Linked DNA regions of Saccharomyces cerevisiae S288C. The protein of the gene in region 1 interacts with the protein of each later gene in a biochemical or structural test. Each region holds a gene or a part of one and is shown in the gene's direction. Other genes may lie near its edges. The genes, in order: RTK1, YBL055C and MRX16.

Region 1 (4,431 bases):
AATGACGAAAATAAAGGGCTGAACTTGAGCAGGAAAGATGCAGCGGCCTTGTTTTCTTGGTGTGCCTTCGAGTTGAACGCAAAAGGTTATAGTAACATTTGTGACATTTTCTCCGCGGCAGAGTTAATACATTATTCTTATGAGACTGATTTGACGAGCTTCTACCAAAATGGTCCCGGATACAAATTGATTAAATCTATAGGTGCTAATTTGTTCAATGCAACAGTGAAGCTAATACGACAAAGTGCGCACTTGGACCAAAAAGTTTGGCTGAGCTTTACGCACGATACTGATATTCTAAATTATTTGACAACTGCTGGATTGATTGATGACACTAGAAATTTAACAACCAATCATGTTCCCTTTCGTGATCATTCCTACCACAGGTCGTGGTACATTCCTCAGGGAGCTAGAGTCTACACAGAAAAGTTTCAATGCTCAAACGATTCGTACGTCCGTTATGTGGTCAACGATGCTGTGGTTCCTATAGAGAGTTGCTCCAGTGGTCCAGGTTTTTCATGTGAAGAGGGCACATTTTACGAGTATGCCAAAGACAGATTACGAGGTGTGAGCTTCTATGAAGATTGCGACGTCTCCAAAGTTAGCAAAGAAAAGGAATTGACGTTTTACTGGGATTGGAACACAACAAGGTATAACGCATCCTTAGTGAATCAATAAGCCATGCATGGGCAGAAATAAAAAAAAATAGGAAATTGTCTTTACATAACATGGTCACAAAGTAATATTCCGCATCGTTCTTCCTTCAGCAAACCGAAGGGGAGCGAATTGAGCCTTCAAGCTACATCTAAAAGAGATTCCACTAACAAGTTCTGCGGTTATTACATATTTTTGTACTACAGAGAATTTAATTGCACCCGCTTTATCACCCTCGTTATTTATATTCTTTTCTGGAATATTTAGATATGCGTCATTTGATTATTGTTGTTTTTTTTTTTTGTTTTTTTACTTTCATTACATCGCTAAATATAATATAAAAGAGATGAACGGCTATTCTTTCTGAATATCGAAAGTTAAAACTCGGATAGAAAATTCACAAGAACATAAAAGAAAACTTCCGGATTTCAAAGGCGGTTCTGGTATTGGGAAACTTCCACAACATATCTCAAATTCAAACTGAAAAGTCCTCAGTGTCTTTTATTCGAAACTCCGGGAAAGCACTGCTTGAATGGATTAAGTAAACTTGAAATAAATTTTTTACTTCTACAGCTAAAATGTGAAATATAGTGTCCGCTTCCACCAAAGGCGTTTATTTTCTCGAAATGAACCTGTGAATAACACAGCTGGCTCCAACTCAAACACTCAACTGCGTCATTTCTTATTCGCTTTCCAAATCATGCATGATTTTTCTTTCTCTTGCCTGCAGTGCTCGTTTCACCGCTCGCGTACTCGTCCATTCTTTGTCAGCGAAGAGGCTCTAACAGTGGAGAGCACATCTGGCAAGTAAAATGATAGGTTGCGCAAGGGGGTAGGGGAATGACTAATAAAGCATTACTACCATCATACCAAGTTCCCATTCATGTACACATAGTCTCTTTAATTGCCTTCTTGAATGGAGGCCAGTAGATATTTGGAGAAGCTTTTCTTGCAGTTCGGGTAATATCGAACGGCGTACATCTATAAGGGGAAAAGCTACTTCCGCTTCTCATATATCTATTTTGCAGTGTGACTCTTCCTGGCTTGCTAAGTATTGTACCTGTTATGGGGCAAGCAAGATTTCTCATTGAAAAAAGATATAATACTTATTTGCAGCCAATAGTGACGGATTCTAGTGTTCTTCTTTTCCATAAGTTGATTACGCTATTCACCCAAACTGACTCTTTAGTGCGCTAATAAGCTGAGAGGATTTGAGAGGGAAAAAAAGAGAGAAGGACAGAAAAGAGCAGCCTGAAATTCATAGCATAATGGTTAAGGAAACTCCATTACACTCATCTTCATCAACTTCGCTGTCTTCATTATTTAGGCCAACTAAGTTGAAGAATTTATCGGCTAAAATATTCAATGGAGGTGGTAACCAATCATACTCAAAGACAGATGATGTTTCAAGGTCTTCTTCTAGATCTTCAAAAAAGAATACAGATTCTGACCAAGAGGATCAAATAAAGTATAACAAACCCAACGACCGAAGATCTACCATAGGAAAGAGCCCCCAGGGAAATGGCGCGTTGTCAAAGGAGTCACACGTAGTAGCAAGTTCTACTTTGACAGGTATTTCTCCTACTTCAGCTAAAAAAGCTCCTATTGACTACTCTCCTTCACGGCCCTTACCTAACAATCATAATCCCGTTCGTACGGGACACACTGTGCCCCACTTACCCCATAGTATTCACAATCCAATAAACTACATTCATCAAGGCTCAAAAGATGCTTTCCACCATCCTCACCCCGTTCGCTCTACAGCTCATAGCAACATTTCTACAGTGTCTTCTGCAAAATCTGATACACCCTCTTCGAATTTATCATACCAGGCACATATGCATCCCGTAGAGATACTACAGAAACAGATTGAAGACAAACACTTCATGGACTCTCAAGCCTCCACCCCTGGGTCCGTGGAACTACAGCATAATTCTTCAAGCGGTAGTGATGATACCTCATCAAGAAAGAAAAAATCCTTGAGATTAACAAGATTTTTCAAAAAAATTCATAATGATTATCACGATAACCATCATCATCACCACCATCACAACCGTGGATCCACCCCTACAAAACCGAAGCTCAATTTGAACACCAATGAAAATATAGTAGAAAGTAACGGAAAAGCGTTATACGAAACAGATAACCCAGTGGAGCTATTAGAAAAATATGGTATTCCTGGTAGAAAATTAGGCGAAGGAGCTTCCGGTTCAGTGTCCGTAGTAGAAAGAACAGACGGCAAGTTATTTGCTTGCAAAATGTTCAGAAAACCACACTTAAACAATGAAGGAACTAATCAGTCTCAATTAGCTAATTATTCTAAGAAGGTTACCACTGAATTTTGTATTGGTTCCACGCTGCACCACGAAAATATCGTTGAAACCCTAGATATGTTGACTGAAGGTGACACCTATTTATTAGTAATGGAGTATGCGCCATATGATTTTTTTAATCTCGTCATGAGTAACCTAATGACACAAGATGAAGTCAACTGTTACTTCAAGCAGCTGTGCCACGGCGTTAATTACCTGCACTCTATGGGCTTAGCTCATAGGGATTTAAAATTGGACAATTGTGTCGTCACTAAAGATGGCATCTTGAAACTGATTGACTTTGGGAGCGCTGTAGTGTTCCAATACCCTTACGAAGATACCATTGTAAAATCACATGGAATCGTGGGTTCTGACCCTTATTTGGCTCCTGAGTTATTGAAACAAACATCCTACGATCCAAGAGTAGCAGATGTGTGGTCTATCGCTATTATATTTTACTGTATGGTCCTTAAAAGATTTCCTTGGAAGGCTCCAAAAAAGAGCTTCAACTCATTTAGGTTATTTACTGAGGAACCTGAGGACGAAGATGATATAGTTCGGGGGCCAAATAAAATATTAAGGCTACTGCCAAGACATTCACGGACAATAATAGGCAGAATGTTGGCTTTAGAACCAAAGCAAAGAGTTTTAATGAATGACGTGGTAAAGGATGATTGGCTTGTATCCGTCCCCTCCTGTGAAGTTGACCCTACATCTGGCGATTTGGTTGAAAAACCAAAGAATCATAAGCATCACTTGGTCACTGAGGAGGAGTTGAATGAGCTGACCAAGCAACACGGGAATAAAGATTCAAATTAATGAAATAAACACTTTTTAAAAGATAAAACCTAAAAAATTGTATATAGAAGATTCAAAGTACTATAAAAGGCATTATATAGGAATAAAAGATGGTGTGCATACAGGTGAAAAAGAAAACTAGTTAAATCTGGAAAAAAAAAACGCTCATATATATACAAAAACATAAATACATTCGTCAAAACAAAAAGCGCTTAAATAAATAAAAGCATTTTTTAGATAATCTCAACGGGCGCCAAATTGAAGTCACCCGACGCATAAAATTGTGAACACGCCCTATTAGATTTTACAAAGAGGAAGTCTCCTCCCCTATAAACTGCAAAGAATAATTGAAAAGTGATTTAGCGCAGATAAATAAGACCACCATAACCACATATGAGTAGGAAAAAATGTTCAAAGTTCCAGTGGGATTAGCCAGTAGGACAAGGGAGCTTATGAACAGCGTTACGCTCAATAGTCTCAATAATGGAAAGGGTTTCAATATGTACTTGCCAGGAATATTAAGGGCTTTTCCTAAACCAGTGCCTTCGGCGATTACATCTCCCGCAATTCCAAAATATCGAGGAGAAAGTTTCCAGTTTCGTAAGCTTTCATGCATTTCTTCTAATTATTGTTCTACCACTCACCAATTTCTATCCAGTCTGAAAAG
Region 2 (3,504 bases), on another chromosome or scaffold:
TCCGTAGGAGCGTGAGAGTTGAAGGATGATCTTCTTGAATGCATCATGTTAAAAGATGATCTTCTAGAAGAAATTACGGAATGCGAGTTTTTCCTAGTCTTCGTCGTTGAATGAGGGATTTGAGTTGAAGGAATAAAGGAGTTCCTTCTAGACCTGATAATAATTTTAGGCACAAGACCAATATTCTCATAATCATTGGAATTAACAGCTTTATTTGTCTTTGCTGAAGTAGTGTTATAAAGGCTTAGATTTGTCTGCTGAGCAGTCTTTACATTAGGCGTGTTGGTTGTTATAGAATGAGAGAAGGACCTTGGCTTAACAAACAGTTTCCTTGGTTTCGTGTGTTGTGGCTCATGGTCCGAAAATGTTGATGTAGATCTTTGAGTTATCAGTTTTCTGTCCATGTATTTAGGCTTAACTAATGGCTTGAAATCCGGTGGAGAATCCTCGATAGCACTAGAACCTGCAGTAATATCTTCATCCTCAACAGCTTCCTCTTTTACGGCTTCTTCCGCAGACGGAGTACCCGCGGATGGGGTAGCATCACCAGTCGCATACACGCCGAATAGCTTATTGATGTCAATAACTGCGGTCTTGTTAGACTTTAAGTTGCCTGATTTCAGTCTCCTCCATCTGAATTGACAAGCGTTAGGAGTTCTATTTGGGAAATGATGTGCAATCTCCTTCCAGCCCAAGTTCTTGATCTCTTTCAGGTGGCGGAGCTTGATATCATCACTAGGGTCCCAAGAAGAGGGGTTGTTTTTTTTGAGTGATTCCGCCTCCTCCTTGTTCGTGCTGTTCTCTTTAGTGCTAGTGCTACTGATAGGCAGGTGGCTCTTCGCATTTGTGTGAGAAAGTGAGTGGGAATGGACAAGATTATTTGGGTGAGGGTGTTTGCTTAGTATTGAGAAACCATGTGAGTTGGCACTAACATGTCCTGATGAAACAGAAACGCTACTGAGTTTCGGCAACGTCATCGCGAGGGAACTTCAATAAGAACAGTGATATATTCTTTTCTCTACCCACTGTCGTGTATATGCCTTCTTGAGTGAGTAGTTTTAATGACTCAAGCAGTGGAGATTTGCCAGATTTGTTTACCTGAAAACAAAATGATATGAAAAGCCTTTATTAATATCAACGTACAAAAACTATACACGACTTCTGTGTAAGGAAGTAGAAAAGTGTCTCATCGCATTGGTCTCGCATCTCATCGCATCGCATCTCATCTCAATTTTCAAATTTCAGCTCTCAGCAGAGAAAAAATTTTTTTTTCACCGGACCAAAAATAGCCTCTCTCACCCACAGATAACGTCGCACACTAACAAGATGATGAGACAAGATAGGCCAAACCGCTCAAAAAGGAACTCGAAGAAGAACGGAAGTGGAGTTTAACTTTAGAACCTAACTGCTACTAAGTGTTGATACGCTAGGCAAGACACCTGCGAAATCCCGCTGCGAAATACCTGCAAAGAGGTTGCTAAACAGCAGCCAGAAGACTTGCGCTAGTAACGTTCCTGAAAAGCTTTGCACTGCAGGCATTTCTGAGCCTTTTCCGGCCTTCTAGAAGGCTTAGCCCCTACTAACGCCGGGTTACTTAGAACAGCACTCTTCTAAGAACAATCTTTCCAGCATGCTGGAAGGGCCCAGTGGTGATGTCCTGGTAGCAATGGACAACTAAAGGTGGACACTTTCGCTGCCAAGGCATTTTTTTGAGGCGCCAGTACTGTTATAGTTATATGTGGGGCATCTTATTGAAATCCTCGAACAAAAGTTGTTCTAGGCTCTGGAAACCAATTTTGACACAATATTATAGCATGACATCAACTGCCACGGATTCTCCGCTGAAATACTATGATATTGGATTGAATCTGACAGATCCTATGTTTCACGGTATTTACAATGGTAAGCAGTACCATCCAGCAGATTATGTAAAATTATTAGAGCGTGCTGCTCAGAGGCACGTGAAAAATGCCCTTGTTACAGGATCATCCATAGCGGAGTCTCAAAGTGCCATTGAGTTGGTAAGCAGCGTCAAAGATCTTAGCCCGTTAAAGCTGTATCACACAATAGGTGTTCACCCATGTTGCGTTAACGAGTTTGCGGATGCTAGTCAAGGGGACAAGGCTAGCGCTTCTATTGATAACCCTTCCATGGATGAAGCATATAATGAGTCTCTATATGCTAAAGTTATTAGTAATCCATCTTTTGCACAGGGTAAACTGAAAGAGCTTTATGATTTGATGAATCAGCAAGCAAAACCTCATGATACAAGTTTCAGGTCAATTGGTGAGATCGGGTTGGACTACGACAGATTTCACTATAGTTCTAAAGAGATGCAAAAGGTTTTTTTTGAAGAGCAACTGAAAATAAGTTGTTTGAACGATAAACTCAGCAGCTATCCATTGTTTCTGCATATGAGAAGCGCATGTGACGATTTTGTTCAAATATTGGAAAGATTTATTGCCGGGTTCACTGATGAGAGGGATACCTTTCAGCTACAAAAGTTAGGTGCATCGTCGTCTAGCGGGTTTTACAAATTTCATCCAGATAGAAAACTAGTGGTCCATTCATTCACTGGTTCTGCGATAGATTTGCAGAAATTACTGAACTTATCACCCAACATCTTCATAGGAGTAAACGGTTGCTCGTTGAGAACCGAGGAAAATCTAGCTGTTGTAAAGCAAATACCAACAGAAAGGTTGTTATTAGAGACAGATGCTCCGTGGTGTGAGATTAAAAGAACGCATGCATCTTTCCAGTACTTAGCCAAATACCAGGAGGTTAGGGATTTCGAATACCCTGCATTCAAGTCCGTTAAGAAAAATAAGCTCGCTGACAAGTTGAATGCAGAAGAACTTTACATGGTCAAGGGCCGTAATGAGCCTTGTAATATGGAACAAGTAGCAATTGTCGTATCGGAAGTCAAGGACGTGGATCTGGCTACTTTGATAGATACCACGTGGAAGACGACCTGTAAGATATTTGGAGAGTAACATCTATTGGTGCAAAGAGCAAAGTTACATTATTTTTAGTAAGTACACTAATTATGCTTAAACTATTAATAGGAAAATTATGGTGCGCATATACATACAGTCGATATTGCTTTCATTTTTTTTTTTTTTTTTTTTCTATTTTTTTCATCAAAAAGGATTCAAAGGTTACCAACAAAATAAAAACAGAGTAAGGAAAAACAGATGTATCTATATGAATAGGATTTATAAATTCTGTTACAATTTATCATTCTCTCGTAATGATTTTTATGAATTTCACCATCTCCTCAATATGGGCCGCAAAGATGATCCAGTAAAAAACAATCCATCGGCAGAAGAGGAATAACAAATAAAGATAACAAAGTTTGACTACTCTTTCGTTGCAAAGTACGGTTCGACAATATTTATTATTCAATTTCTTCAATCTTGGAACCCTTCTTCGCATTTTCATTCTTGCCGTTTTCTTCGCCGTCGTTATCATCGTTATCATCAGCATCATTAGGTTCTGTTTCTC
Region 3 (4,094 bases), 310 kb from region 1:
TAGGAAACCGGCTCAAACTTCCTATTCAGTTGTCCTTGAAGGAGACTTACTTTTTGTTTGTTTTTTTATTTTTATTTTTATTATATTTTTTTTTTTCATTTGTTGGGGTCAACTCACACTGGTTCTCCGCCATATTGCCTTTCTGTCAAGCATTGAAACGTGCAACATGAATATTTTTGGCAGCCATTTCAAAACAATAGCATGGTGCGAACTGCTCCAACATGAATAACCGTGCTTCGACGCGGTGTTTTCTCTTGCCGGACTGCCCATGCGTTTCAGTGCGGAGAAAGTCATCCGTTTTGAAGTGCTGCTACAACACGATCGCTCAAAAAGGAAGGAGTTTTCCTATTTCGAATTGATGGCTGGGTTTGAGCTGCAGGACACGCTGCAGTGGGGAAGCCCTTTTAAATCCGCGAGTCCGGTCCGTGCTCACTTTTAGACGCGTGTTCCATCGGCGTTCGGATGGTTTCCAGTGAGAAAAGGGGCTACGCGTATGGTCGGTAGTCCCTTTCAGGGACCAGTGCAGAGGGTGAATCAACGGCCCCTTCACAGAAACCGCGCAGGAATTTTTCTGGTGTTTGTTATTTTTTTTTCCTTGTACTTATCTCACTTTTCTTTTTCTAACTATTTTTTTTGCAATTTTTTTGTGTACACTTTCCACAACATATAGGATGGTTTAGTCATCTCTCGAAGTATATAAACCGTTGCTGGATCGTGGTTGTTCTTCATCGACTTCTCTCTGCTAGACTCTCTTTTTTAAAATTTTTTCATAGAATAAAAAACCAAGGATAACAAACATCTTCTTTCGTTCGCTTCAAAATAACTACAAATTAAAAATGCAATTCTCTACCGTCGCTTCTATCGCTGCTATTGCCGCTGTTGCCTCCGCCGCTTCTAACATTACCACTGCTACTGTCACAGAAGAATCTACCACTTTGGTCACTATCACTTCTTGTGAGGACCACGTTTGTTCTGAAACAGTTTCCCCAGCTTTGGTTTCCACTGCTACCGTCACCGTAAATGACGTTATCACTTAATACACCACCTGGTGTCCATTGCCAACCACTGAAGCACCAAAGAATACCACTTCTCCAGCTCCAACTGAAAAGCCAACCGAAAAGCCAACTGAAAAGCCAACCCAACAAGGTTCTAGCACTCAAACTGTTACCTCCTACACTGGTGCCGCTGTTAAGGCTTTGCCAGCTGCCGGTGCTTTGTTGGCTGGTGCTGCCGCTTTATTGTTGTAATTTACTCAACCTTTTCTTTAATATATTTTTAGAAAAATGGTTAAGTACTTTTCCGTCAATACAGCTTCCACAAAATCGTTTTATTTCAATTAATAAGATATTCTGGTAATTTCTTATTCTAATTCTAGGAGGCAACACTCCATAACTAAATGTTTATTATAATAATATTAATATAAAGTTAATATCTCTTAGGTTACACGCAACTAAACTTTTTTTATATATACTGGTTGCATTGTATTTTTATCATATATCTTAATATAGGTTGTTTAAGGTTCGTTAATTCAAAAATAATGTTTTTTTGTTTGCCCAGTCGGTTTACGCTAATCAAGAACATGGATTCAATATCTTACATAATAAGCGGACGATGAGTCTATCTCGGTTTCCTCTTTTCTGAAATATAATAGTTTTATATTAGTGATTCATTATTACGATCTGGCCGGCTTATCATTGCTTCTTTTACAAACGTATCCTTTTAAGATTTTATCCGGACCACTGAGCTGGCATTTTTCTTAGCTTGCTTTTGTCTTTGTTGCACGGGCGACTGAACTTCTTGGAAAATCATGTAAGCCGCAATTGCTTACTAAGTCAAAATTCTAATGGATTCTCCTCTCGAATAAAATTGAATAGTCTGAGCAGTGAAAAAAATGTATATCTTATGTGTGAATGTTATATACCATAATCTAACGAAAGATAGCGAATTAAAGACCGGTCTGTGGCACTCGTAAATATTACCAACAAAGAAAGTTCCCAATATAATCATATAGAAAATGTCAAATTCTCCAACAGTAGCAACTTTGTCACAAGAATATTTCGATCCGAATATTCCTCAAATACTCCCACACGAGAAAATGTATAAGATTCAGGTGGGGAAATCATTATTCAAAATCAGCGGTGCTTCTTTAAGCTCGGATGGTCCTAGTTTCTTCACCGAATATTTTTCTAAGAAGCGCTCTCCTTCCAATAACGATGACAGTAATAACGATACCATGGAATCTAATAAAAATGAGGTTCTATTCATAGACAGATCAGCCGAAGTTTTTGAATGGATCTATCAACATTTGCAAGGATATATAATTGAGATTAAGGATGAAGTACAATATACCATGCTTTTCGCAGATGCGATGTACTACAATTTACCGCGATTGCGATCTTTACTGAAAGAAACGGACTATTATTTTACCAACATTGGTGGACAATCATTCAAGATAGCGAAAAATTTATTTAGAAGAGAAGGAGATTCCCCAAATTATTTCGAAATATATGCGGCTACAGTTTATATCGATGTGGAAGAGCTGATAATATCTAAAAAACTATTAAGGCCTCCATCTCATTCTGCTCCTTACATTCCAAGATCTTCTGAGTACTTCAAAGATTTGCTGACGTTACTGGGAGGAGCATCCATCGATCTAGATGATAATAAAAGAAATGCCTTGATAAAAGAGTGCCGTTATTACAGGCTTTTAAATCTCGAACAGCGGCTAATCAAATCTCATATTAGCTATAACCCAATAACAAGGAAAGAAGAGATTTGCCTCCTATTGAAGGATTTGTCAAAAAAAGGCATCACTTTTCCAGCTTCTTCTGCATTTTCAACCTCGCCCTACTTTGAAGACGATTTCTGTAGCATAAATGAATGCGACTCGCTATCAAAAACCCGTGAACAGCCAGCAAATAAAAAGATTAAACTTGACATGACTGAAAAATATAACGATTCCTGGAATATGCTTTGTTATAAGAGACCTTTTTTAGATAAGCATCCGAGAGAGTTGATATTTCAAATAAATTCGACTGATTGTACGATAATCCTCAATAAGGAAAGCCAAAGTATCCATGTAGACATAACTGGAGAATCCGCCTATAAGTTTGAGGCCTTATTTGGAAGTCATTTGCCAAATACACCCTCTGGTGCGCCTAAGTTGAAAAATTACCAGTATCGGTTCCCATCCGATAGTACGCAGACGAAAATTGAAACTCATTATTTACTTCCAGCATGCATATATCTCTGTGATTTGGACATAAACGGCATTAAGATTTCTCAAGTTCAAACTTTGCTAACTGATAAAAATAAATTCAATGACAGGGTCATTGACGTGTCTGATCCACTTGACCTTAGATTTTGTTCTGGTTTAAAGCTTTACTTAAGAAAGTCTCTCTGGAAACTGGCCGTGAAAGATGGCAATATTATGCTGATAGCTATTAAAGCTATAGCATTTAACGGAACTAAGGAATACTACAAGGGATATGAATATCTGTAGGATTAGCTTGATAAAATTACTCTTCTGCCAAGCTTTTAAGTATATGTATGCTCTCCGTTGTATTTTTTATATGCCATTATAGTACTTGAAGTATAACGGAAACCCATTGTAACTCACATTCCTGTAGTAGCTTCTTTTCTTACTTTTTGTAGGCTCTTGTCTCTTTTCTCTTGTTATTTATCAGTTAATATGTAAGAAAAAAATCGACTTCGGGAATTAGGATACAGACACCTCTTAAAACCAGAGATAAAGTAACGTAGAGAAAATAGTAGGATAATGTGTGCAAAAAGAAGAAACTTTGGTGTCTTAAAATAGATAAAAATAACCCTACTGCCAATTTGAAAGGGCCCGAAAAATGTTTGATAAGTTACCTTATGAGATTTTTAAACAAATTGCCTGGAGAATTCCGCAGGAAGATAAAATTTCGTTAACATATGTATGCAAAAGATCCTATGAATCAATTATACCTTTCATCTACCAGAATTTATTTCTTAATGAAACCTATCACATCAATGGTGACTATGATAACTCATTTGGAACCTGTTATTGGTCTGTCCTAAACTTTCACTACATAGATGAAGATGATTCCAAT

What was found.
Region 2: the proteins of RTK1 (region 1) and YBL055C form a complex in vitro, tested with the Saccharomyces cerevisiae proteins (one large-scale study listed by BioGRID).
Region 3: the proteins of RTK1 (region 1) and MRX16 form a complex in vitro, tested with the Saccharomyces cerevisiae proteins (one large-scale study listed by BioGRID).

Annotation. Positions count from the first base shown.
Region 1 is NC_001136.10:404,698-409,128, reverse strand, and holds RTK1 (putative serine/threonine protein kinase RTK1), read left to right. Parts: upstream 1-1,922; coding exon 1,923-3,785; downstream 3,786-4,431. Other genes in the region: putative acid phosphatase DIA3, read left to right, coding at 1-678; MRX9 (Mrx9p), read left to right, coding at 4,172-4,431. UniProt on the Saccharomyces cerevisiae protein: Probable serine/threonine-protein kinase that may be involved in ribosome biogenesis.
Region 2 is NC_001134.8:115,062-118,565, reverse strand, and holds YBL055C (3'-5'-exodeoxyribonuclease), read left to right. Parts: upstream 1-1,736; coding exon 1,737-2,993; downstream 2,994-3,504. Other genes in the region: TOD6 (Tod6p), read right to left, coding at 1-977; type 2C protein phosphatase PTC3, read right to left, coding at 3,398-3,504. UniProt on the Saccharomyces cerevisiae protein: Has both endo- and exonuclease activities. Incises double-stranded DNA without obvious specificity via its endonuclease activity and excises the DNA from the 3'-to 5'-end by its exonuclease activity. May have a role in apoptosis.
Region 3 is NC_001136.10:718,224-722,317, reverse strand, and holds MRX16 (Mrx16p), read left to right. Parts: upstream 1-2,014; coding exon 2,015-3,502; downstream 3,503-4,094. Other genes in the region: YDR131C (uncharacterized protein), read left to right, coding at 3,858-4,094.